Linked DNA regions of Bombyx mori. The protein of the gene in region 3 interacts with the protein of the main gene of each other region in a pairwise test. Links are inferred from orthologs where the notes say so. Each region holds a gene or a part of one and is shown on either strand. Other genes may lie near its edges.

Region 1 (5,679 bases), on a different chromosome or scaffold from region 3:
TTGCGGGTTTCATTTTTATTACACGATGTTATTCCTTCACCGTGGAAGTCAATCGTGAACATTTGTTGAGTACGTATTTCATTAGAAAAATTGTTACCCGCCTGCGGGATTCGAACACCGGTGCATCGCTCAACACGAGTGCATCGGACGTCTTATCCTTTAGGCCACGACGACGATTTTCAAAATTGATGATTGATGATACCTTTGATTGGCTTCTCATTGTTTGTGTGCAGATCCTCCATGACAGCGTTAATGCCACCGTTCGTCTCTATGAAGCTATATATGAATTTCCTCGTCTCCTGGTCGCGAAGGTGGACCTCCGAAACTCCTGCCTCCTTCAGAAACGACAGGAGCTTCTCGTCCTGTGTGGTCTCCACGTCGAACCCTGAAAACGTTAATATATTTATTAATTCGATAGGTGAACGAGCTCACAGCCGACCTGGTGCTAAGTGGTTACTGTGGCCCATAGACATCTACAACGTAAATGCGCCACCCACCTTGAGATATAAGTTCTAAGATCTCAGTATAGTTACAACGGCTGCCCCGCCCTTGAAACCGAAACGCATTACTGCTTCACGGTAGAAATAGGCAGGGCGGTGGTACCTACCCGCGCGGACTCACAAGAGGTCCTACCACCAGTAATAAGAGGTCCTACCACCAGTTCAAATCCAAATCTATCCTATCCAAATCTCGAAAGTGGAATCATTGTGATGAGGGTGTCTGCACGGGTGGACATCACCAGGTCCTGGTGCGAATCAGTCGCGAAGGGATCCTGTGTATCGCTGTGACCACTGCTATTGTAACATAACTGAGACTTGGACTTCATGGCTACAAATGAAGAGGCGACGTTGTGCGACTATCGGTTATCTATACTAATATATAAATCTACAGTGGTTTTTATTTTACGGATGTTCCGTTATAACTACTGAACCATGCATCCGATTGACTTGAAACTTGGTATCCATGTAGAATATGCATGTACTTAATGGATAGGCTAATATTTATATGAGTGTTGAACTCCCTACACCAGTTACGGGGGTGTTAATGATGAGAATCTTTGTGGGGGTGAGAAATAATAATGTTAATTTTAAATGCCCAGCGAAGCGGACCGTTACAGCTAGTCATTTATAAAAATAATGTTCAATGTGCTTAGTGCGAGTTTTTTAACGTTCTCGATGGCCTGATAGTTAACTCCAATTAGTATGCAGTTGGAACTGTTATATTATATGTACAGAGTACTGAACCCTAAAATGCTGATACCCTCAAACCGCTGACTAGACGGTTCGAGGTAGAGACTTTAAAGGAGACCGGAGAACAGTCAGTAGAGAGTGAACTGTCTTAGAGTACGGGTGCGGCTCTCGCGGTTACTCTGAGAATTACGTATATCATCCATATTGTATAAATAAAATAAAATAGTTCGAATCTTAAAAGTTTCCTTTTTTTAAAACGACCTCAGAGTAAATTCCCATAACAGAACGTTTGCCTACGTTTGCCGCTAGGGGCGCTGTTATAACTGCATACAAAAAGTTAACTTTTATGCTATCGAGAGCGTTAAAAAACTCGCACTAAGCACACAATAAAATTTTGTTTCATTTAATTTTATCCCAATCGATTAAATAGTCAAATCAATTAACTTCATCCTATTTTACTTCATATAACAGAATATTAGTATGTATTTTACAATTGAAGATTTTTATGAACTCGACACTGGCAACAATGGCGTCGCAAGAAGCCAATTGCCATACCTAAAAAAAAAAGGAGAAAAAGAAAAGATCCACGCACCTTTATCTTTATCCCATCCGATGTGAGAAACGTGCGTGAAGTTGTGAGGCATCCCGATGTCGGCTTTAGTCAATTTCCTTGTCGTTTTCCGTTTTCCGGAGCTCTTCAGTGTGTACGTACCTGGGCGATCATTACAAGTTATTACACATACTCTCTGATACATATTGTAGATGTTGCACTAAAATTCGCATGTCAAATAATGACAAAGCATACACGCTGCTTTTAACTTATGTAATAACTCATTATTTTTTTATTGCTTAGATGGTGGACCCAGCCCACCTGGCGTTGAGTGGTTACCGGAGCCCATAGACATCTACATCGTAAATGCGCCACCCACCTTGAGATATAAGTTCTAAGGTCTCAGTTATAGTTACAACGGCTGCCCCCCCCTTACACCGACACGCATTACTGCTTCACGGCAGAAATAGGCAGGGTGTTGGTAACTACCCGTGCGGACTCACAAGAGGTCCTATCACAAGTATAAAACCACCACTATGCTTAGCGAATAAATGATTTCTTTCTTTCTTTCTTAGAATGTCATAGAATGCCATTGATCTAACACAACACACAACATAGCAGCGAAAAAATCCCTTTACTTAGGTCGCCCTTTTCTTGGGGTCTTAGTCTTGGGATCTTCAGTGCGGTATCCCGGAGCACCAGAGGTACCGCCCGGGCGCCCGGGCGACGGGACGGGCCGTCGTCCGTCGGGCGTCCTAGTAGTGGCGCAGCGAGTCTAGTTGTAGTGTTGACCACGGGAACCACTCTGCCCGGGTTCTGAGCTCGAGTAAAGATCGGACATGCCGTGAGAGGGTGCAAAGGGAGTAGTTTGGTGGGTAGGACTTTAAAAACATCGTAGGCTCGCGATCTGTTCCCGAAATCTGCGTACCGTCAAGACCCACATACCCCGCGCGCCCCTTGGACGCGAAATGCGTGAAGATCGCCTCCCCCCGCCTCGCTAAAAAGTCGGCATTACTTTACATCAGATGATCATGAATATAGGAATATAATATTATAAGTAGTTTTCACCTGCTAAATTCGTTTTCGGTGGGAGTACGGGTGCAGGTTCCGGTTCCGGTGCCGGGAGCGGGGGTAGGACGCCATTTTGTCTCGGCTCCACCACGCTACTGGCCCGTGCCGCCGTTAAGGCACGTTGCCTCCTTTCTGAAAAATACGAATGGTTTTTTATACGTTATTTACATCCTGGCTTACGAAAGCAAACAACCAACAACACACGAGAACAATCACGGGTACTAAGTGGAAACTATTTCCTTCACATCTCTGAATTTTTACTTTTTCAAGCTTCTAAAACACTAAAATGTTATTTCTAGTCGCTATTCCGAAGATTACTCAAAATCTATATATATAAAAGAAAGTCGTGTTAGTTACACTATTTATAACTAAAGAACGGCTGAACTGATTTGGCTGAAAATTGGTGGGGAGGTAGCTTACAACCAGGACAAGGATACCTTTTATCACGTTTCCGTGGTACGTGACGTAAAACGTGGTATAACAAAACGCAACTGATATGGAATAACAAAACGCAACTGACAGCTAAACGTAATGTAGTCTATGGTTAATTATAGTAGAATTTTGAAGTTGACCGGTCGATGTGTTCGTTTCCAGTTTCTATTAGCTTATTGTGCTGAGACAAGTAATCATTAAGAAAGCCATACCGCGACCAACACGATCAAATCTTTCCCGACGAAGCCGTAATGCAACTAGTATTCGAAACATTGCGAGTGAAGCGACTAAAGAAGAAACAAGAAATAAAAATATAACAATAATAACTAAAATACATTAACAATAAAGAATCATTAAAATACTTGCTTTTTTAATTTACACTAATTATCCAAATAAAAAATTGACCTGATAAAATCAAGTCTGCTCATTTATTGCCTCTAAGACGGAACAAAGTTCGTCAGATCTGTCAAAGTCAAAGATAAATAAAATATAAGAAAACCTTATTTATTTGTATTGTGTGTGTGTTTTATGGCCTTCATATACAGGCGAGCTATCTTCTCTTATCATTTTATCGTCTCTGATGGACATTAGCATTATACAGCCAAGTCGCTACCTACGACTGAAGACTATTTTCGAGCTTGGTTTAGAGAAAGACATATCATAGCGCTCAGTTATAAGAGCCGAGCGTTCATTCCAGAACTACATGGTTTCATTTGTAAAGCTGCTCTTGAGTTGTTAGGTCTCCTCCGGAGGCGCTCGGGCGGAGTGTTAGAAAGTTTTTTACTGGTTGTAGGACCTCTTATGAGTCCGCGCGGGTAGGTACCACCGCCCTGCCTGTTTCTGCCGTGAAGCAGTAATGCGTTTCGGTCTGAAGGGTAGGGCAGCCGTTGTAGATGTCTATGGGCTCCAGTAACCACTTAACACCAGGTAGGCTGTGAGCTCGTCCACCCATCTAAGCAATAAAATAAATATTAAACAAAAACGGAAAAGCCTCCAGGCCACCAGTATACCTTCCTTCACAAAAAAAACCCGTTGCTACATCGCAAAACGCACTGTCGATGAACGCAGCAATTCCAAGTGGACGGTATGAACTCTTATTTCGGTGTCAGATGATGCAATTATAAAAGAGATGACGACATCATCTCAAACAATTCCTCGGTCGGAAATAAATACTTTTCTCTCTTCTACTACTTCTCCGTAAACAACTTCGGAAGGTACGTATTCATTGTAAAACTAGCAACGCCAAGTTCAAAGCGGGGTAGAGTCCATCTCTCCTATATCAAATTTGTTATTTAATAATTCACTTTTATTTTTATTTGCCCTTGTAGGCGGCGGACGAGCATACGGCCCGCCTGGTGGTGAGTGGTTACCGTCGCTCACGGACGGTAGAGCCAAACCGCTGCCTACCGAAGCCTCGACCATTTGATTCAATTATAGTATAATATTTTTACTTTAAATTGTGTTATAACATATCACCTGTATTGTGAGACAATGTATGACATGATACAAATATTACGAACGGTGTATTTACAAATAAATATAGACGTACTTAAATCCGACAAGTACAATGAGGAGTCTTTTAATAAACAATGCACGCACAACAATGACAAACGTGATATCGGTAAATGCGCTCGTCTTGTGACGTCACGTGCAGTGTGACCACACTAAACGAAGACCTGAGACAATAAGTTTTTTGGAACGAAGTTCCTTATGGGACGATGCGGAGGAGTACCCTAACCGGGAAAAAACGTCCGTAACGTAAGATTTTTATTAGTAATCCACACAGTGTACGACTTAACTTTGTAATAACGTACAAAAATAACATTTTTTATCATTCATTGACCACGATCTCTGAGCGTTCATTTGCGCAATACTCTTATGCAAACAACCGTGAATGAAGTGTACCACAATAAGTTCGCACGTTACCGAATGACCGTGGGTTGTTGCGAAACCTCCAGTTTTATTTTTTATTTTCTTTATACCTCAAATAGAACTTTAAATTAATATTTTTATATTAATAAGGAACTTCGTTCCTATCCAGTGTCCCACGACACCACACATCTTTTTTATTAGATTGTCTTTAAGGCAAGACTAAAAGAAACTAAACCGTAATGAAGCAAATCATTCATGTCAGTTGTGCATCGTGTTTTGGAGAGTACGACAGTAGTCATGAAATACCATTGACAGTTAGACATCAAACTTTACACTCGATGGGCTGTAAGTTAAATCAAGTCAGATAAGACAGTAAAAAACAACAATTTAATTGTATTGTAAAAGTTAAATGAAGCTATATAGATTTTATTATAAGTAATCGTCGAGTGAATAGCAACAAACATATAGTAAAGCATTATGTGGCCAAGGCAGTGCCACAGATCAGAATTCGTAATTTCCTAAGACATGCATTTGGCTTTGACGATTATGCTTGCGATTTCATTT
Region 2 (6,316 bases), about 2.9 Mb from region 3:
TCAGTTTGAAGGGCTGGGCAGCCGTTGTAACTATACTCGAGACCTTAGAACTTGTATCTCAAGGTGGGTGGCGCATTTACGTTGTGGATGTCTATGGGCTCCAGTAACCACTTAACACCAGGTGGGCTGTGAGCTCGTCCAACCATCTAAGCCAAAAAAAAAAAGAAAAAAAAAGCCATCATGAGAAAAATCAGAAGAAAAAAATGTGTGTGTGCATGTCACACACATTACGTGTGACACGGTAGAAGTGAAACTTATAAAAATTAAAATAATCGCAAGAATCAACCAACCCGCAGTGCAATGGAGCAGCCTCACCCTGTGGAAACCGCCTGCATAATCACGGTATCCCTACGCCAGGTAAGTATGATTTAGCTTTTTTTTTCCTACCTAAGCTGATAGCCTTGCGAGGCTATTTCAGCAGAACCTTAACTAGTAGGTGAACTCACGGGGCTCAAATCTGACGACGTTGCTAACACGAACTCTAGCAAGAGCCGTGCTTCGCAGAATCTACCACCGGATCGGAAACGCAACCCACTGAGAAGATCCGGCGAGAAACTCAGTGGGCTGTGTCTGAGGGTTAATTTACTCGACGAGCCCTTCCTCGCAAGCGACGGGTTCGACGGGAACGGTGATCGGTGCTTGAGGTACCTAAAAGCACCGTTAGTGGATCGGGAGGATCCGAAATGACGTGTTTGGGGTGATGTCGACTGCTTTCCATTCTTTTGATTTAGCAAGAGAAATACGAGAACATCTATCAACTGTGTGACATCTTATGACCGTGATTCAGGAATTGTTGAATTTACGTGTAGGGACATTTGCTGATAACAAACGCATGGTTACAATCAATCCTGTCACCCCGATTCGGCTAGATGTTGAGTTCTGGGACACTCTGTATATGACACAAACTTCTGTAGACTATACACAAACCATAAACATTTTTTGTACTCCTGTCCTACCTGAAGTCTCAGTAACACACATTACAAGATTTCTCCTCATGTCATCTGATTTTAATGGAATTAAATTCTTTTATTTCATAAAATTTCATCCCTTTTGATTACCATTTACAGATGAAACAACTTCTTTTAGTCCGCTTCATTTCATTCTTCTTGAAAAAAGTTAAATGTGTCACGTTAAAATTGCAGACTATTTATACTCGACGCCAGTAATAATGGTATCGAAAACGTCCTTACGCATTTAACAGATACATTAACTCTAGCATTAAGCCCCTTCAATTCTAATTAGCACTGGGAGCAGCTTAAGTGCTCTACCGACTGGTCAAACTCGGCAGAGAGTTCGGCGTGCAACCCAACCGCCCCAGCCCGCTGAGTTTCTTGTCGAGTCTTCTCAGGGAGCCGCGATTTCAATGCGGTAGTAGATTCATTCGCGAAGTAGTTGTCTTTGATTTGTTAAGTCTCCTCCGGAGGCGCTCGGGCAGCTGTTAGCAAATCCCATCATTCTTGGTTAAGTCTGTGGTCACCCACATGTCTTGGTAAAACTGGAAACGCCTCCGGGCCACCAGTAGTACTTCCTTCCCAAAAAAGGCATCGCAAGAAGGCGATTGCCTTACGGAAAAAATATAGCCGACGAGAGTAGTAATCTGTGTGAGTGAGACAAGATACAATTATAGTGGACTTTTTGGCGGGAACGCGAGGAGTGAAGTTGTGTGATTTGTTTTATTTTGTCTATTTAGTGTTTCTTCAGGTTTAAATGTGTAATAATGGTGGTTTATTAACTGTTTAATATCTGTGAAAGTGCACAAATGTGGGAAAATGAAACAAAGCCGCTGGACGTAACTTCTCGGGATCCTCCAAAAAGTCCACTGAAATAATCTTAGTAAATGACCACCATTTTACTGAGATTATATTTCATCCCATATCATCTCATCTCATTTCATTTAATTTCGTTTAATATCTGTGAAAGTGCACAAATGTGGGAAAATGAAACAAAGCCGCTGGACGTAACTTCTCGGGATCCTCCAAAAAGTCCACTGAAATAATCTTAGTAAATGACCACCATTTTACTGAGATTATATTTCATCCCATATCATCTCATCTCATTTCATTTAATTTCATCCCAGTTGATTAATGTCTCAAAAAAACTTTTTCATTTCATTTCACTGCATAATATCATTTTTCATAAAAATATATTATAAATTAAAATAAGACATGACTTAAAAGTCTTAGTTACCAGGTCATAAAATCCCTTAAAAAAAATACAATTATAGTGGTGACTTTTTGGCGGGAACGCAAGGAGTGAAGTTGTGTGAATTGTTTTATTTTCTCTATTTAATGTTTCTTCAGGTTTATATATTATTATGTAATAATGAAATTAATGAAAATGAAATAAAGCCGCTGGAGGTAACTTCGAGGGATCCTCCAAAAAGTCCACTGAAAAAATTTCAGTAAATGACCACCATTTTACTGAAATTATATTGCATCCCATATCATTTCATTTAATTTCATCCCCGTTATTTAATGTCTCAAGTTAGTCATCTTGATTTCCTTTCACTCCATATTATCAATTTTCATATGTAAAATTAAGAATATAAATTAAAATAAGACATGACCTAAAGGTCTTAGTTACCAGGTCATAAAATCCCTTAAAAATAATCTATGTTAAACAGTCTGTTGTGGTCATAGATTATACACTTAATATGTTGTGGTCTGACACTCCCTAATTTTAATTTATTGAGAGATTTTTTACGTCCAACATAGATAGTTTGAATATAGTGTACACAGAAACATGTGTATTAGTTGACTTCTAGATAAAGTGACTCGCTACATTATTAGCAAGGTACGGCTCGCGCGGTTATTAACATAAAACATTATCTGGTCTTGTTAGATATCTTGACTTAGTAAATCATGATCTCACATCATTGATCATCTTCTCGAATGAATACAGCAACAATTTGTTATTCCCCTTTGAACGGAAATCCTAAGTTGTGTAATTCTAATAGATAGGAAATAACATTATTGTATTATCATTATCTTTCATAGTTGTGAATCCGCGTACCTTTTTATTGCAGAAATATGTCCACATTATCAAGATCCCTGAATATTAGTCAGCAAAAATTAGCTGAGAAGCTAATTATACTGAATGACAGAGGTATTGGTATTTTAACAAGAGTTTACAACATTAAGAAAGCCTGTGGAGATGCCAAATCGAAACCAGCATTTCTATCTGATAAAGCATTGGAGTCATCAATTAAGCACATAGTTAGGAGATTTCCCAACATTGACGTTAAAGGACTCCAAGCAATTACACCAATACGGAATGAAGTAATCAAATCATTGTCGCTATATTATTACACATTTGTAGATTTGTTAGATTTTAAAGACAATGTTTGTGAACTTCTTAACATCATAGATGCATGTCAGGTTACTTTAGACTTGACATTGAATTTTGAATTGACAAAAAACTATCTTGACTTGGTTTTAACATATGTTACACTAATGATATTGTTGTCTCGAGTTGAAGATAGAAAAGCAGTGTTAGGTTTATTTAATGCTGCATATGAATTGCTACAGAATCAAATTGAGAATAGTTTTCCCCGTTTGGGACAGTTGATTGTTGATTATGATGCTCCATTGAAGAAATTGTCTGAAGAATTTGTGCCACATCAAAAAGTACTAGCAAGTGCATTAAATTCTCTATGGCATGTGTATCCAGCTAGAAATCTTTCTGCTGAACATTGGAGATCGGAGCAAAAGCTAAGCTTAGTCAGTAATCCAGCTCAGTTACTGAAACCATCAGAAACAAACACAATGTCTTGTGAGTATGTATCATTGGAGTCTTTGGAGAGGTGGGTCATATTTGGTTTTGCACTCTGTCATCAGATGCTCCAGCAGGACCATGCTAATAAAATGTGGGTCAATGCACTAGAGTCAGGATGGGTTGTGGCATTATTTAGAGATGAAGTGATTTACATTCACAGCTATATACAAGGTTTCTTTGACAGCATAAAAGGCTATGGCAAAAGAATATCTGAAGTAAAAGATTGTTACCATCATGCAGTACAAAAAGCAGGATACAAACACAGAGAGAGGAGAAAATTCTTAAGAACAGCTTTGAAAGAACTGGGTCTAATATTGACTGATCAACCAGGATTATTGGGCCCAAAAGCTCTTTTGATTTTCATTGGCCTCTGCTATGCAAGAGATGAAGTATTTTGGCTGTTGCGACATAATGATAACCCACCACAAAAAGTGAAGGGAAAATCTGCAGAAGATTTGGTAGACCGTCAACTTCCTGAACTTTTGTTCCACATGGAAGAATTAAGAGCATTGGTTCGTAAATATAGTCAGGTAATGCAGAGATACTATGTGCAATACCTTTCAGGCTTTGATGCTGTAGCATTGAACATGATGATTCAGAACTTGAAGGTATGTCCTGAAGACGAAAGTATAATATTATCATCTTTATGTACTACTGCAGCAAATTTGAGTGTCAAACAGGTTGAAGAGAATGAGCCATTTGATTTTCGATCATTCCGTTTAGATTGGTTCAGACTTCAAGCATATACATCTGTTGTCAAAACCCCCTTGAGTCTTGTTGATCAAAGGGAACTGGCTCAGTTTATAGACAAAATGGTATTCCATACTAAAATGGTAGATAACCTTGATGAAATAATGGTTGAAACATCTGATCTGTCAATATTTTGCTTTTACAACAAAATATTTGAAAATCAGTTCCATATGTGTCTTGAGTTCCCTGCACAAAATCGGTATATTATAGCATTCCCGCTTATTTGTAGTCATTTCCAAAATTGTACTCATGAACTATGCCCTGAAGAGAGGCATCACATTCTAGAGAGAAGTTTGTCAGTAGTCAACATATTCTTGGATGAAATGGCAAAAGAAGCAAAAAACATTATCACCACTATATGTGATGAACAGTGTACTATGAGTGATAAATTACTACCCAAACATTGTGCACAAACTATAGCTCATTTAGCTAACAGAAAAAAGAAGGATAAAAATAAGAAAAACACAATTGAAATTGTTAAGCCTGGAGCAGAAAGTTACAGAAAAACCAGAGAAGAATTGACAACCATGGACAAACTTCACATGGCTTTGACAGAATTATGCTATGCTATAAATTATTGTTCCACTGTAAATGTTTGGGAGTATACTTTTGCACCACGAGAGTACTTGCACCAACATTTGGAAACTAGATTCTCTAAGGCCTTGGTTGGCATGGTAATGTTTAACCAAGACACAAGTGAAATTGCTAAGCCTTCTGAGTTGCTTGTTAGTGTTCGTGCATATATGAATGTGCTTCAAACTGTTGAAAATTACGTTCATATTGATATTACACGAGTTTTCAATAATTGTCTTTTACAACAAACTCAAAATATGGATAGTCATAAAGAAAAAACCATTGCATCATTGTATACACAGTGGTACTCTGAGATTTTACTGAGACGGGTCAGTGCTGGTAGTATTTGTTTTTCAATGAGTCAAAAAGCATTTGTTAGTTTGACAGCCGAAGGTGCTATACCCTTCAATGCCGAGGAATATTCTGATATTAATGAGTTGAGGGCATTAGCTGAATTAATTGGGCCCTATGGTATGAAACTGTTAAGTGAAACACTAATGTGGCAAATTGCAAGTCAAGTACAGGAATTGAAGAAACTGGTTGTACAAAATAAAGAGGTGTTGCAGATGCTCAGGACTAATTTTGATAAACCAGAAATTATGAGAGAGCAGTTCAAAAGATTGCAAAATGTGGATAATGTACTACAACGGATGACCATAATTGGAGTCATATTGAGTTTCAGACAAATAGCTCAAGAGTCATTACTAGATGTTTTAGAAAGGCGTATTCCATTTTTGATAAGTTCCATAAAAGACTTCCAGCAACAGCTGCCGAGTGGTGATCCAATGCGAGTCATTTCAGAAATGTGTTCTGCTGCTGGCTTACCGTGCAAAGTGGATCCAACATTGGCATCAGCTTTACGTCAGCAAAAATCAGAAGTTGAGGAGGAAGAGCATTTAATTGTATGCTTGCTAATGGTGTTTGTTGCTGTGTCTTTGCCTAGACTAGCTCGGAGTGAAGTATCTTTCTATCGACCTTCCCTGGAAGGTCATGCTAACAATATACACTGTATAGCTCCAGCTATCAACCACATATTCGGAGCTCTATTCACTATATGCGGCCAGGGCGATATCGAGGATCGAATGAAAGAATTCTTAGCTTTAGCGTCATCATCTTTGCTTCGTTTAGGGCAAGAAACTGATAAAGAAGCTACTAAGAATAGGGAATCAGTTTATCTTCTATTAGACTTGATAGTGCAGGAGTCACCCTTTCTTACAAT
Region 3 (6,218 bases):
TTAAGTCTCCACCATAAAATTTCCCAAGTACTTTCTCAATAATTATTGAACCTGATTTTATACCAACTGAGGGTAGAGGTAAATCGTTTCAAATTGCTAGTATCTCGATTTGACTTACATTTATATTTACCCATTTCTTTTCTACCCACAGACTCAATTATTTTATTTATTAAACGCATTTAACTACCCCACCTAGTGGAATAAGGTGGAGAAAAAGAAGAAACGCATGAATACAGATGGCGCATTTGCTAAAACAAAAGGAATTCTAGTGTACTTGAAATAATGACCTTGCGGCGTAATGAAAGCAGTTGTGTGTCTGGCACAATGCTTAATTTATGGTAGCCCTGGGCTAAATCTAAACTCTTGAAGTACTGTTCGGTGGATACTTTTATATTTTACCATAGCGTTTAACGCACGATAATCAACGCATAGCCTACTGTCGCCGTTCTGTTTCTTAATAAGACCACTGGTGAAGCATGACTAGCTTCAGATTATTTTATAATGCCGGCATCTAAAAGTTAATTGGCTTTAGATTTAACTATCGTTTGTTCATTATGAGAAAGTAAAGGTGGCAATACATGGGCTGATCACTAGTAAGCTTAATTTGCATTTGGACTAAATTGGCAATACCTAAATCATGTGTATTCGTAGCAAAGTAATGCTTATACTGTATTTTTTAAATCTGAATGACCCTTATTATTTAATGGCTCCTTTTTTTTTTTTTTTTTTCTACCCTCAAGTCTCGAAATATTTGTAATGGCATGGCTAGGGCAAGTAGAAATGCAACACACCTGGCTGTTTGGCTGTGGCTCCTCGCAGCTGTTGGCCCTCGGCAGGATCTCGCCCGGCGGCCACATGATGGTCTCCGAGCCCATGTTGATGACTTTGATGTAGCCGTCTTCGCCGCGCAGCAGCGTCGCAGGCAGGGAGAAGGAAGCTCGTAGCCGTGAATCTCATGAAGCGCCGTGAAGCTCGTAGTGCCGCAGTGGGTTACTCCACGTTGTTGCTCTTCTAGTTTCCGTCCACGTGAACCAGAATGATGGAAGGACAGGGCGGCGGGCGCTCTTCGTCCGACGACGTCGATATTCCTTTGGTTTGATTGTTCCAGGTTCTTCATCATGTAGTTCAAGTATCGCCTTGTGGACCTCCTTCTGAAGCAAATTTTTCAACACCTTCCTCGCTGGTGGAATAGGAATTTCATCATCTTTTTTTTCCAACTTGTCAGAATACCGAGAGATCTGAGCGTGTATATGACGTTGTTTCATTTCTTTATGCCACTTCTGATTGTTGCAAATGATGTGACAATAAAAACCAGCAGCGTAACGATAAGTTCTTTTATTTGTGCAAGAATGCAGAAAAGTAGGTAGAAATGGCTGGCACGGCTTGTTTTATTAACACTATCCCCCCTTCGTTGGCTTTGGCTGGCGGCGGTGGCGGTGGCTGTGGCGGAAGGGGGCGTGTTAATATGGCTTGGCGGCTTGGCTGGCGGCAGGGCATGACAGCTGACGTCACGTCCGTTACAAAATACAGTTAACATAATTGACACCCGCCCGAATATGACGTTGGTTTTATTTCTCCATATTGGTTCACTTTTTCTAAGTAGCTTTTGGTCCTGTACCTAATTCCAGTATCAGGATAGATATTATTTTTTTATTTTGCTAGTTTTTTTTCCTATCTATTAGGGTATATTGTATGGTCGGTAGCCTAGGGCTAATTCAACTGCGCGCTGACTGGTATGTGAACTCATGGGTTCAACTTGGGAGGACTTCCTAACTCTAATCCTAGGCAGAGCAGTGCTTCGCTGAATCTACCACCAGAACGCTCAGGCTTATAAAAAGACAAGGTAAACTTGTCTTTATGGTGTAACGCAAATCGTGTGAATTTGTTGTGTATGCCGTATTTAAGTTTTTTATTTATTTATTGCTTAGATGGGTGGACGAACTCACAGCCGACCTGGTGTTAAGTGGTTACTCGAGCCCATGGACATCTATAACGTAAATGCGCCACCCACCTTGAGATATAAGTTCTAAGATCTCAGTATAGTTACAACGGCTGCCCCACCCTTCAAATCGAAACGCATTACTGCTTCACGGCACAAATAGGCAAGGCGGTGGTACCTACCCGCGCGGACTTACTAGAGGTCCTACCACCAGTGAAAATTTAAGTATTCATAGATTATTTTTGGCTAAAAAACTTGGTAAGTTCCTATTAAACCAAAAAATCCTGAATTGCAGGAACGGTGAGAAGATCTCAATTATTGCTTTACTTTCAAATTGGTTACAAAGTATGTGTACGCTAGTCACTAGCTTTATCTCGAAATAGCTGATTACCAAAACTTTTGAGTACCTAATGAAAACAATCGTCAACGTGAATTGTCAATCTTCAAAATAGATATTGCCACCTTATGATATTGTGTGGTGGAATTTACGCATTTGGATCTGCCGACCGAAATAGGTAAGTTAAAAATTAGACGGATTTGTGATTCTTTCGCTTTTTTTATTTTAGAAAATGCAACCTTTAATTGACATTGTTGACAGTAGCAGGTATGTCATTTTGTCAGAGGGCATACAAAATTTGACATACAAAAATTAGGGTGTGTTTGTAAATTTGTACATTCAATTTTCTTTTAGTGGGCACATAGTTTAGTAATAATTGGTATACCACCAATTAATTTGTGTTTTATCAATTTTGATATTAACATAATTGGCACAAAACGGTACATTTGGATATTAGTCAAATAAAAAAGTTGTTTACAACAATCTCTACAATACTTTAAAATTTTGGGTAATATTAACAAGGTTTCACAGCAGGAAATATGGCTGAGCTAGCAGCACTATTACAGACTGAAATTCCCGAAGGACGAAATCATCTCACCGATAGCCACACTAATCTTGAAAGGGTGGCAGATTACTGTGAGGCCAATTATTTTCAATCCGAAAATAAACGTCTCGCTTTGGAAAGTACAAAAAACTACACCACCCAATCATTGGCTAGTGTTGCATACCAGATTAATACTTTAGCATACAATTTCCTACAACTGCTGGAACTGCAGACCATGCAATTGGCTGAGATGGAAGGCCAGATGAATCACATAGCCCAAACGGTTGCCATACACAAAGAAAAAGTAGCACGTCGTGAGATTGGAGTTCTTACAGCAAATAAAGTCACCAATAGGCAATATAAGATCATTGCACCAGCAAACCCTGAGAAGCCAATAAAATATGTGAGAAAAAGCATTGATTACACAGGTATTTCATATTCTACACTTTGAATTACAAAAACCTTTTTATGAAATAGTTCAAATATCTATTTTCCCTATCCCTGGTAACCTCGAAGGGTAAAAGATAGGTTCAGTTTCACTGGCTTGGTAAGTAGGCATACAGGGCTAGCTTGTGAGTTTTCTAACACTTACTTTAGCAAGAGAAATGCTTTCCTCCAGCAGCCACTTTATTAGTATCGCAAGCCACTGAAAAAAAAACATTGATGGTATATAGAATGATGGTGTACATAATGTCCTGCTGAAGATTAAGAGAATCTATTAGATACAGGCCCCGCAAGACTGGCTATTATGGCCAACCTACAGGGTGGTCTATCTACAGCAGTGGCTGATGATGAAAATTATGACAAAATAATTTACATGTCTGCAGTACTTAACCCACAACAGTCTTAATGCTGCATGGTTACATAATAAACTTATCTGATTAAATTGTTTCATATTTTGTCAACAAGGTTGATGTGCACATTCCTCTTTAATTTTAAACAGGATTTTCTATTTAGAAACTACAATTACTATACTGTAAGAAAAATGCTGTTGGTTAAGTAAAAACCCTAAGCTTATTAGTCTATTAATTATTTACCCAATTTATTATGTGTACATAACAAATAATTGAAAAGTAATTACATTTAATATTGTTTAAGTCTTTGAAATGCTCTGTAGACAGAGGTCACGGTTTTTCTTGAATGCCCTGCCACTTCTTAGCTCTATACAGCATTTAGATGTGGCAGGGGAGTTACCCCTGTTTGACACTTTTAACATCACAAGAAAGATCTTTTGAAATGAAAAAAGGGACTGCAAAGTGTCAGGCAAAAATTTGTTTGGCTCTCTGAAACAGTAAAAGTAAAATTAATTTTTAATCCAAGTACAAGTCGACTTGTACTCTAAGACAATAAGAGTTCTTATTTGGAAGCTTTTTTTTTTCTACCTAAGCTGATAGCCTTGAGAGGCTATATCAGCGGAACCTTAACTAGTAGGTGAGCTCACGGAGCTCAAACCTGACGAAGTTGCTAACACGAACCCTAGCAAGAGCCGTGCTTTGCAGAATCTACCACCGGATCGGAAACGCGACCCACTGTGAAGATCCGGCGAGAAACTCAGTGGGTTGTATCTGAGGGTTAATTTACTCGTCGAGCCCTTCGTCGCAAGCGACGGGTTCGACGAGAACAGTGACCATTTGGAAGCCCTGCATGTTCTCTCTATTGAAAGTAAACTCACTTGGTGTGACTTATTTACCCTATTATAACTAAATAATATTAGTTGTTATATTACAAGCAATATTTTATTCTAGCTTTGGATGACATTGGGCATGGTGCTCACTGGAGTAGTGGGGCAACTGGAACACCGCGTGGGCGTCGCTCGAGCTCTGCTCCCGGGGTGGCTCCTCTACCGGCTCCAACAACCAAGCCTCCAACGCCACCTGCGGCTGTCAGGTCCTCATCAGCTGCCAACACTGGAACGCTTGGACGTGGAACATTAGGTAAAGGATCAAAAAGGCCGGTTTTTTGCACATAGAAAAAATTAACAGGACCTCGAGGTCTAGTAGCCTTTGACTTTAGGTTTCTTAGGTTAAATTTGGAAATACATTTCCTATATCAAGAATAATCAGGTACACAACTCTGCAATTTCTGAGCATGTTTCAGGGACAGTGTCACGAACTATTTCATAACATTCTAATAAAAAATTCACTAAAGAAAACTAAACTCCATATATAGTACTGAAGTTATTTAAATGAGATAATGCCCCAATTTCGATATTTTGTCGGCGGTCGGCATTATAGTGCCTTCATACCCATACAGATGACTGCTTTGCAGATCGGTTAGGGTGGTGCACGAGTAATTACAAAAACGAATAAATGATTGTAGATGATGATATTGTAGATTGTTGATTTTTTATTTAGTTGAAGGTAAAATGCTATTACTTATATTTATTATTTTCTAATTAAATTTATTAATATTTTTTCCAGGAAAATCTTCACGAGAATACCGCACTCCTCCTGCAGTAGCACCTCCTCAAGTTCCGTCACATTATGCACCAAACTATCCACGTCGCCCACCTGGCTACTCCACTTTGCCAGTTGCACAACCCCAAGTAAATATCAAATTACATCATATTTGACATAGAGTACATGTTCTGTATTTTGTAAATATTTGTAAGTGAGTATAACATACCAGAAGTTTGCCAGTGATCGAGGGTCGTGTGAGCCCACAAGGGTAGGTACTACTTCTCTACTTATTTATACCATGAAGCAGTAATATGTTCCGGTTTAAAGGGTGGTGCAGCTGTTATGTTATAGAACTGAGACTTAGTAGCCATGTATTAAGGTGCTTGTTCACCTTTCTAAGCAATAATACAATAAAAAAATAAATGATAATGTAATTAGGAGTAATTAACTCCAATACTTAGATATGCAAGTTGTAGATATACTTATAAGAGTTTTACCAAACATAGAATATATAAATATTATAATTATTATTATTATCAATAATTATATATACATATATTGTTATATACTGTTTGCTATACTGAATTTTAAATGTTTTATTTATTTATTTGGATTGTTATATCGTTTACTCTCATTACAGGTGGGCATGGTTCACCCGAATCAACATCAGGCACCAACAAACTATTCTCAACAGGAACTGCATTCCAGTATGCCACGTAAGTTTTAATGTACCTGTTATGTTAATTATTTACGTGGAAATCCATACTTTTGTCATTAATTTATATGTCATAATAATGTATACTCATGTTCGTTTACGGTTGTCATAAACTGACATAAGGCGATAGTTAGTGCCCCACAAGTCAACGCCAGATCAGCTGACAACGCTGAGAAACATTTGAAGGGTGGTAGACACAAATATCTATGGGATGTGAAATGGTTACCAAACCACATTTGGTGTAGTTCAATTCATGAAAAATAAGACTTAAACAACAGACAGTG
Region 4 (5,679 bases), on a different chromosome or scaffold from region 3:
TCGTAATGCCGGCCACTCACATGCGCGCAAATATTCGTACATTGTACGAATGTTTGCGCGCATGTGAAGGGCCGTCAAACATTCATTGGCAAACTTAGCGGCTGTGCAAATGGGTTCGGAACTCAATTTGCGAACCCGGTTGCGCTTCCTCCTACACTTGTTTACGAATGTCTCACGAATTTCTCCTCCTTTTTAATTCGTCAATAGAACATTGAAGAGAAAAAGAGTTTTGAATTCTTTCCCAGACATCATGAACAACCATGCTGTTTTTATGGGATTTATTTTGATGAAGATACGCTACACAGTAGACGTCACGATCTATGAAAATAGCGAACGTCCGTTGCCTTCGCAATCCTGGGCGCAACTGGTCACACGAATGTGTGGGAGACTACGCGGAGGAACGCGGTTCGCGCGCTTTGATGTCTGTTACAAAACCGATACAGCTTGGAAAATCACGAATGCAGCGAAAACTTTGCATAATCATTTGCAAATGTTGTCCTACACTTGCGGGTTTGCGTATTCGTGCGAATGTGAGTGACCGGTATAAGAAACACGTGCGAAGCGTGAAACTCCGGAAAACAGTCGAGCGACAGACACTCCAATGTAACCCACGTTGAGGAGTCTTAATGTTTCGCTTCAATAATTCAGGTAACGACCAAAACCCAAGTGTCGGACTTTCCAAGCGTACTTTCGATTCTTACAGAAGTCCGTACTTACAGAAAGCCGACAAAAACAGGTTATATAATTGGAAACGAATATTTAAATGTCGCTTTCCCGACCTTTCCCCTTATGTGTTCGACAACTTTTATTCGCGCCCCCCTCCAAGCGTTTTCTTTACGGGGAATTACTCTAAGCTAGCTTCAAACAAGATGTACACATCAGAAATATGGTTGGGTTGCTTTTTGAAAAGATAAAAATGTTTTTTTATACGGATTAGAGTGTAGGTTCTTTGATGTCCGGTGACGATGCTCTTGCGAATACTGTCAGTTGCGTACCTTCCATTATTTTCAACCACCACTATAATATATCGAGTAATCTAATAAATAAAAATGATGTTGTCTTTTGCTGTTCGTTTGTTTGTTCGTATTTTATGCACTGCCATACCATTTTAGGTTTTAGGCATAGTATAATTAACTTACAGTAGGTGGAGCGCGAGTAATTTATAAATAATAAATTTATTTATTTATTTTTATTTATTTATTCTTATTGTACACACAAAGAAAATACAATAAAAAAACAGATTTAAAGAATGTCTAAATACTATGTACAAAGGCGAGCTTAACTCATTCATGAGTTTTCTTCCAGCAAACCAATAGCAGAGTGAAATACGATGTATAAGAGGGGAATAGTGTACAATATAAAAGCTATTAAAGCATGATTTTTAAACTAAGCTTTAAAAAAAAAAAAACTAATATAAAATGAAAAATACATATAAATAAACATACATAAAACAATAACTTAAATACAATTAAAGTGACAGGAAATATTTCTTCATTTGACTCTTAAAAACTTCTAGAGAGGAACTAGCACGAATAGGTTGAGGGAGAGAATTCCATAATCGCACTGCTTGTATTGTGAAAGAGCCACTATAGCGGCTAGAGCTGTGAATGGGAGTTTTTAAAAGAAGAGATGTGGCTTGTCGACTAACTCTGCCGTCAGGAATCAGGTATTCAAAGCGTTCACGGAGATAGATAGGGGCATCGGGATTGTGAAGAATAGAATAGAGAAAAGAGAGAATGTGGCAATCACGACGTCGCCTAATCGGCAGCCACCCCAGCTCAGCCCGGAAATCAGACACATGGTCATACTTCCGGAGACCAAAAATGAAGCGGATGCACAAATTCTGCAGACGTTCGAGTTTATCTAAAAGCAATTCAGAAGCATCTAGAAAAAAGTTATCAGCATAATCGAGAAGAGGAAGTAAAAGCGTTTGGGCAAGAGAAATTTTAGTGCGAAGAGGCAAGAATTTTTGAAGGCGTTTCAGAGACTGAAAGGAGTAAACAGTTTTTCTGCTTACTTCGGAAACGTGATTAATCCACGAGAGGTGACTGTCGATGTATAAACCTAGATTTTTTACACATTTCGAATACGCTATCGGAACGTTGTCGTAGAGGATGGGCGCTAACGAGCTGTAATCGAGGAGGCCGCACATATATCTACCACCAACAATGAGAGCTTGCGATTTCGAAGGATTCACCAAAAGACCAAAGGACTTTGCCCAGTTGTAAATCGCAGAGAGATCCACGTTGATTGCCGAAATGGCAGCCCCAACGTCAGCAACCCTCGTATGGCGATATAGCTGCAAGTCGTCTGCATAGAGATGGAAGTGTGAAGATATAGATTGAGAAATTGTGTTTATAAACACAGAGAAGAGGAGAGGAGAAAGTACGCCACCCTGTGGAACACCCGCAGTGAGGTCACACCACTCAGAGAAAGACTCTTCGTAGCGAACCGACTGCGAGCGTCCACGGAGGTAAGAATTAAACCACTGAATTACCGAAGACGAGACATTAAGAGAGGATAGGATACCGAGAAGAATGTCAAAATCAACTGAATTAAAAGCATTGCTGAAGTCCAGTAAAACCAAAATAGTAATTGATTTCCGCTCCATGGCCAAGCGAATATCATCGGTGATTTTCACCAACGCGGTGACAGTGCTGTGACCTGGACGGAATCCAGATTGATACGGACTCAGTAGGTTATTCGAAGAGAGGTAAAAAGAAAGTTGTTTTTGAACAATGCTCTCGAGGACTTTGGAAAAGATCGGAAGAATAGAGATGGGACGGTAATGGGATAAAGAAGAAGGTTTTGCAATTTTAGGTAAGGGTAGGACATGAGCCTTTTTCCAAAGTGACGGAAAGGAACTGGACTCAAGAGAAAAATTTATTATGTGGCAAAGGATAGGAGCAAGTTCCTCCATGATAAGTGTGAACATTATAAATGTGTGTTTTGCATACAATTAACGATTATCACGGCGGAACGTGACTGTTTTCAGCGAGCTATTAATGAACTACTATCGATGTAAATAAAATACAATAATATTTTCAAATTATTGATATCACCGACCTTGTGGCTCTAATGTCGGGAAATAATTCTTAAATTATATCGTAAATATATGAGCGAGCTCACGGTCTATAGTGCTAACGGAGCCCATAGGCTACATAGCGTGAATGCGGCCACCCCTCTTAAAATATGAAGTCCCTTCTGTTGCATAATTATTGTTTCATCTCCTTCTTGACCCTTCAAGCCCAAACGCTTATGGTACACGGCAGCAATGCGCCCGGTCCACTAATAACAATATCAATGAATAGAAAAAGCATTTTGAATCAACTGTGGTAGCATCTTGTGTATGTCTTAGTAAAACATTCGCACATTTCAGTTTCACCTGTGTAGGCTTTTGTAATGCCCTCAAAGTAGTAAATTTCTACGTTAAATTACATTTGAATTAAAATGACATGTGCATGATGTGCAATGATGTGTGCATTTATGTTTTTGTGTCCGCGATCGATTATCTGCCTTTGTTTTAAGCGCGTTATTCGCAGAAGAAGTGCCCGTTGCAAGACGCTTCTGATCGTAAACATTCTTTCCTTACAGATCTGTAAATGTAATACCGTGTAATTTTTCCCTTCAAAGAGGAATGGATTTCTACGTTAATAGGTTGATTAGATTTGAATTAAAATAAGTTTTATTTTAATTCAATGCATTTTTATTTTGTTTTTGTGTCGGCGATCGATTATCTGCCTTTGTTTTAAGACGTTGCAAGACGCTTCTGATTTTTTTTCTTATTTTTTCTTATTGCTTTGATGGTTGCTTACAGCCAACCTGGTGTTAAGTAGTTACTAGAGCCCATAGACGTCTACGACGTAAACGCGCTACCCACCTTGAGATAGAAAGAAGTTCTAAGGTCTCAAGTATAGTTACAACGGCTGCCCCGCCCTCAAACCGAAACGCATAACTGCTTCACGGCAGAAATAGGCAGGGCGATGGTACCCACCCGTGCGGATTCAAGAGGTCCTAGATTGTAAACATTCTTTCTTTACAGATCTGTAAATGTGTAATACGGTGTAATTTTTCTGAGCAGTGATGCAGACGAGGTAGCTGGGAGGTGGACGCAGCCATGCCGCTGCCGAAGCGCTGCGTGGAGCCGGTGCACGTGTCCCGGGGCACGGTACCGGAGCGGCTCTCGGTGCCTTCGGAACTGGAGGCCGTCACCAATGGCACCCTTGCGAACACTGTCAGGTGCGTACTATACAACGTTCCCTAGACCCCCACCTTACTACGCATTAAATTACATAATAAATCTAACTTTCAACTAATGATCGATCGAAATTTGACCGCAACCTTTGACATCTCAAGATTTCAATAAACATAACAAAAAACGGTTTCTATTTTTTAATACGTTTTTATTAGCTTCAGACGTATGTATGTAACGGAATCTTTGAACATGATTTTGACCCCCTTCAAAATGTCGGATTAACTCGAAATTTGGCATACTTATTAAGAAGGACCAATGACAAATCATTGAAAAAAAAAATAATTATAAAATCGAAATTCAACTAAAAAATGAAAAATAAATAATGGTTTAAAAAAACTTACACAATACGCTTTTATAGAAAATCCAACTAAAAAATAGAAAATAAATTTTAATAAATTTGAATTAAAAATAGTGTAAGAAAAAGTGATTTTATTGTAAAAAAGCGTGGGATGCTTTTCTGGATATTATCAAAATAACCCTTCTACTCATATCTGTTCATTCTTACTAATAACAATAAGATCGTTAATGTTTCTAATTATTATTAAAAGAATTATTATTAAAAGAATTTGTAGTTTATAAATTAAAAAAAAGAACAAGCTTAAATAGCTAACCGAGTTAATAATGATTAATTTCATTTTTTTTTATCCTGTTGATACTGGTTCGGATTATAGAGCGAATTTTTTTTTTTATTGCTATTGAATCGCGTATGCAAATTTTCAAGTTAATCGGACGTCTTGATTGGCGAAAATGTCGTTCAAAGATTCCATTACATACAAACAAATAAACATTGCTTGATAAACAGAGTTGAAAATGGTACTTCTTAGCTATTTTGTTTTTGTCTATAATGAATAGATTGAGAATGAAATGATCCAGTCTCATAATACCTCGTGTCAAGGAACATGTCAGTCGTAATTCGAATACCCTTAGGTCTTCAGTCCTGTACCACTAATATAAAATATGATAGTTGTATAGTCATTCCATCATGTCACAGTGGGTTTCAATTAGCAGAAACCGGTGAAATGACTCTTCAAGAAGGAAGAGATAATTTTCTCGAAACATTAATCGAAAACCACCCTGCCTATTTCTGCCGTGAAGCAGTAATGGCGTTTCGGTTTGAAGGGTGGGGCAGCCGTTGTAACTATACTTGAGACCTTAGAACTTATATCTCAAGGTGGGTGGCGGCATTTACGCCGTAGATGTCTATGGGCTCCAGTAACCACTTCACACCAGGTGGGCTGTGAGCTCGTCCACCATTCTAAGCAATAGAATGCGATAAATATTATTACCAATACTCTGTTCCAATATTACAGACAACTCTCTTCCCTCTCCAAGCATGCTGAGGACATGTTTGGTGAATTGACCCGGGAGGCCACGAACCTGGCGGACAGAACTAATGTGCTCCAAGCGAGGATAGACAGGCTCGC

What was found.
Region 1: the proteins of abl interactor 2 (region 3) and actin nucleation-promoting factor WASL interact in a two-hybrid assay, tested with the Drosophila melanogaster proteins (2 studies listed by BioGRID). The link is inferred for Bombyx mori from reciprocal best matches to the Drosophila melanogaster genes Abi and WASp.
Region 2: the proteins of abl interactor 2 (region 3) and membrane-associated protein Hem interact in a two-hybrid assay, tested with the Drosophila melanogaster proteins (2 studies listed by BioGRID). The link is inferred for Bombyx mori from reciprocal best matches to the Drosophila melanogaster genes Abi and Hem.
Region 4: the proteins of abl interactor 2 (region 3) and actin-binding protein WASF3 interact in a two-hybrid assay, tested with the Drosophila melanogaster proteins (2 studies listed by BioGRID, with this or other methods). The link is inferred for Bombyx mori from reciprocal best matches to the Drosophila melanogaster genes Abi and SCAR.

The regions. Positions count from the first base shown.
Region 1 is NC_085121.1:15,501,934-15,507,612, reverse strand, and holds part of actin nucleation-promoting factor WASL, read right to left. Parts: intron 2,944-5,679; coding exon 2,809-2,943; intron 1,903-2,808; coding exon 1,783-1,902; intron 386-1,782; coding exon 203-385; intron 1-202.
Region 2 is NC_085115.1:11,706,325-11,712,640, reverse strand, and holds the start of membrane-associated protein Hem, read left to right. Parts: upstream 1-2,625; 5' UTR 2,626-2,793; intron 2,794-3,025; 5' UTR 3,026-3,029; coding exon 3,030-6,316. UniProt on the Drosophila melanogaster protein: Plays a role during growth of the oocyte.
Region 3 is NC_085115.1:8,782,987-8,789,204, reverse strand, and holds the start of abl interactor 2, read left to right. Parts: upstream 1-2,540; 5' UTR 2,541-2,815; coding exon 2,816-3,248; intron 3,249-4,565; coding exon 4,566-4,754; intron 4,755-5,240; coding exon 5,241-5,365; intron 5,366-5,859; coding exon 5,860-5,935; intron 5,936-6,218.
Region 4 is NC_085109.1:3,368,271-3,373,949, forward strand, and holds part of actin-binding protein WASF3, read left to right. Parts: intron 1-4,081; 5' UTR 4,082-4,117; coding exon 4,118-4,239; intron 4,240-5,565; coding exon 5,566-5,679.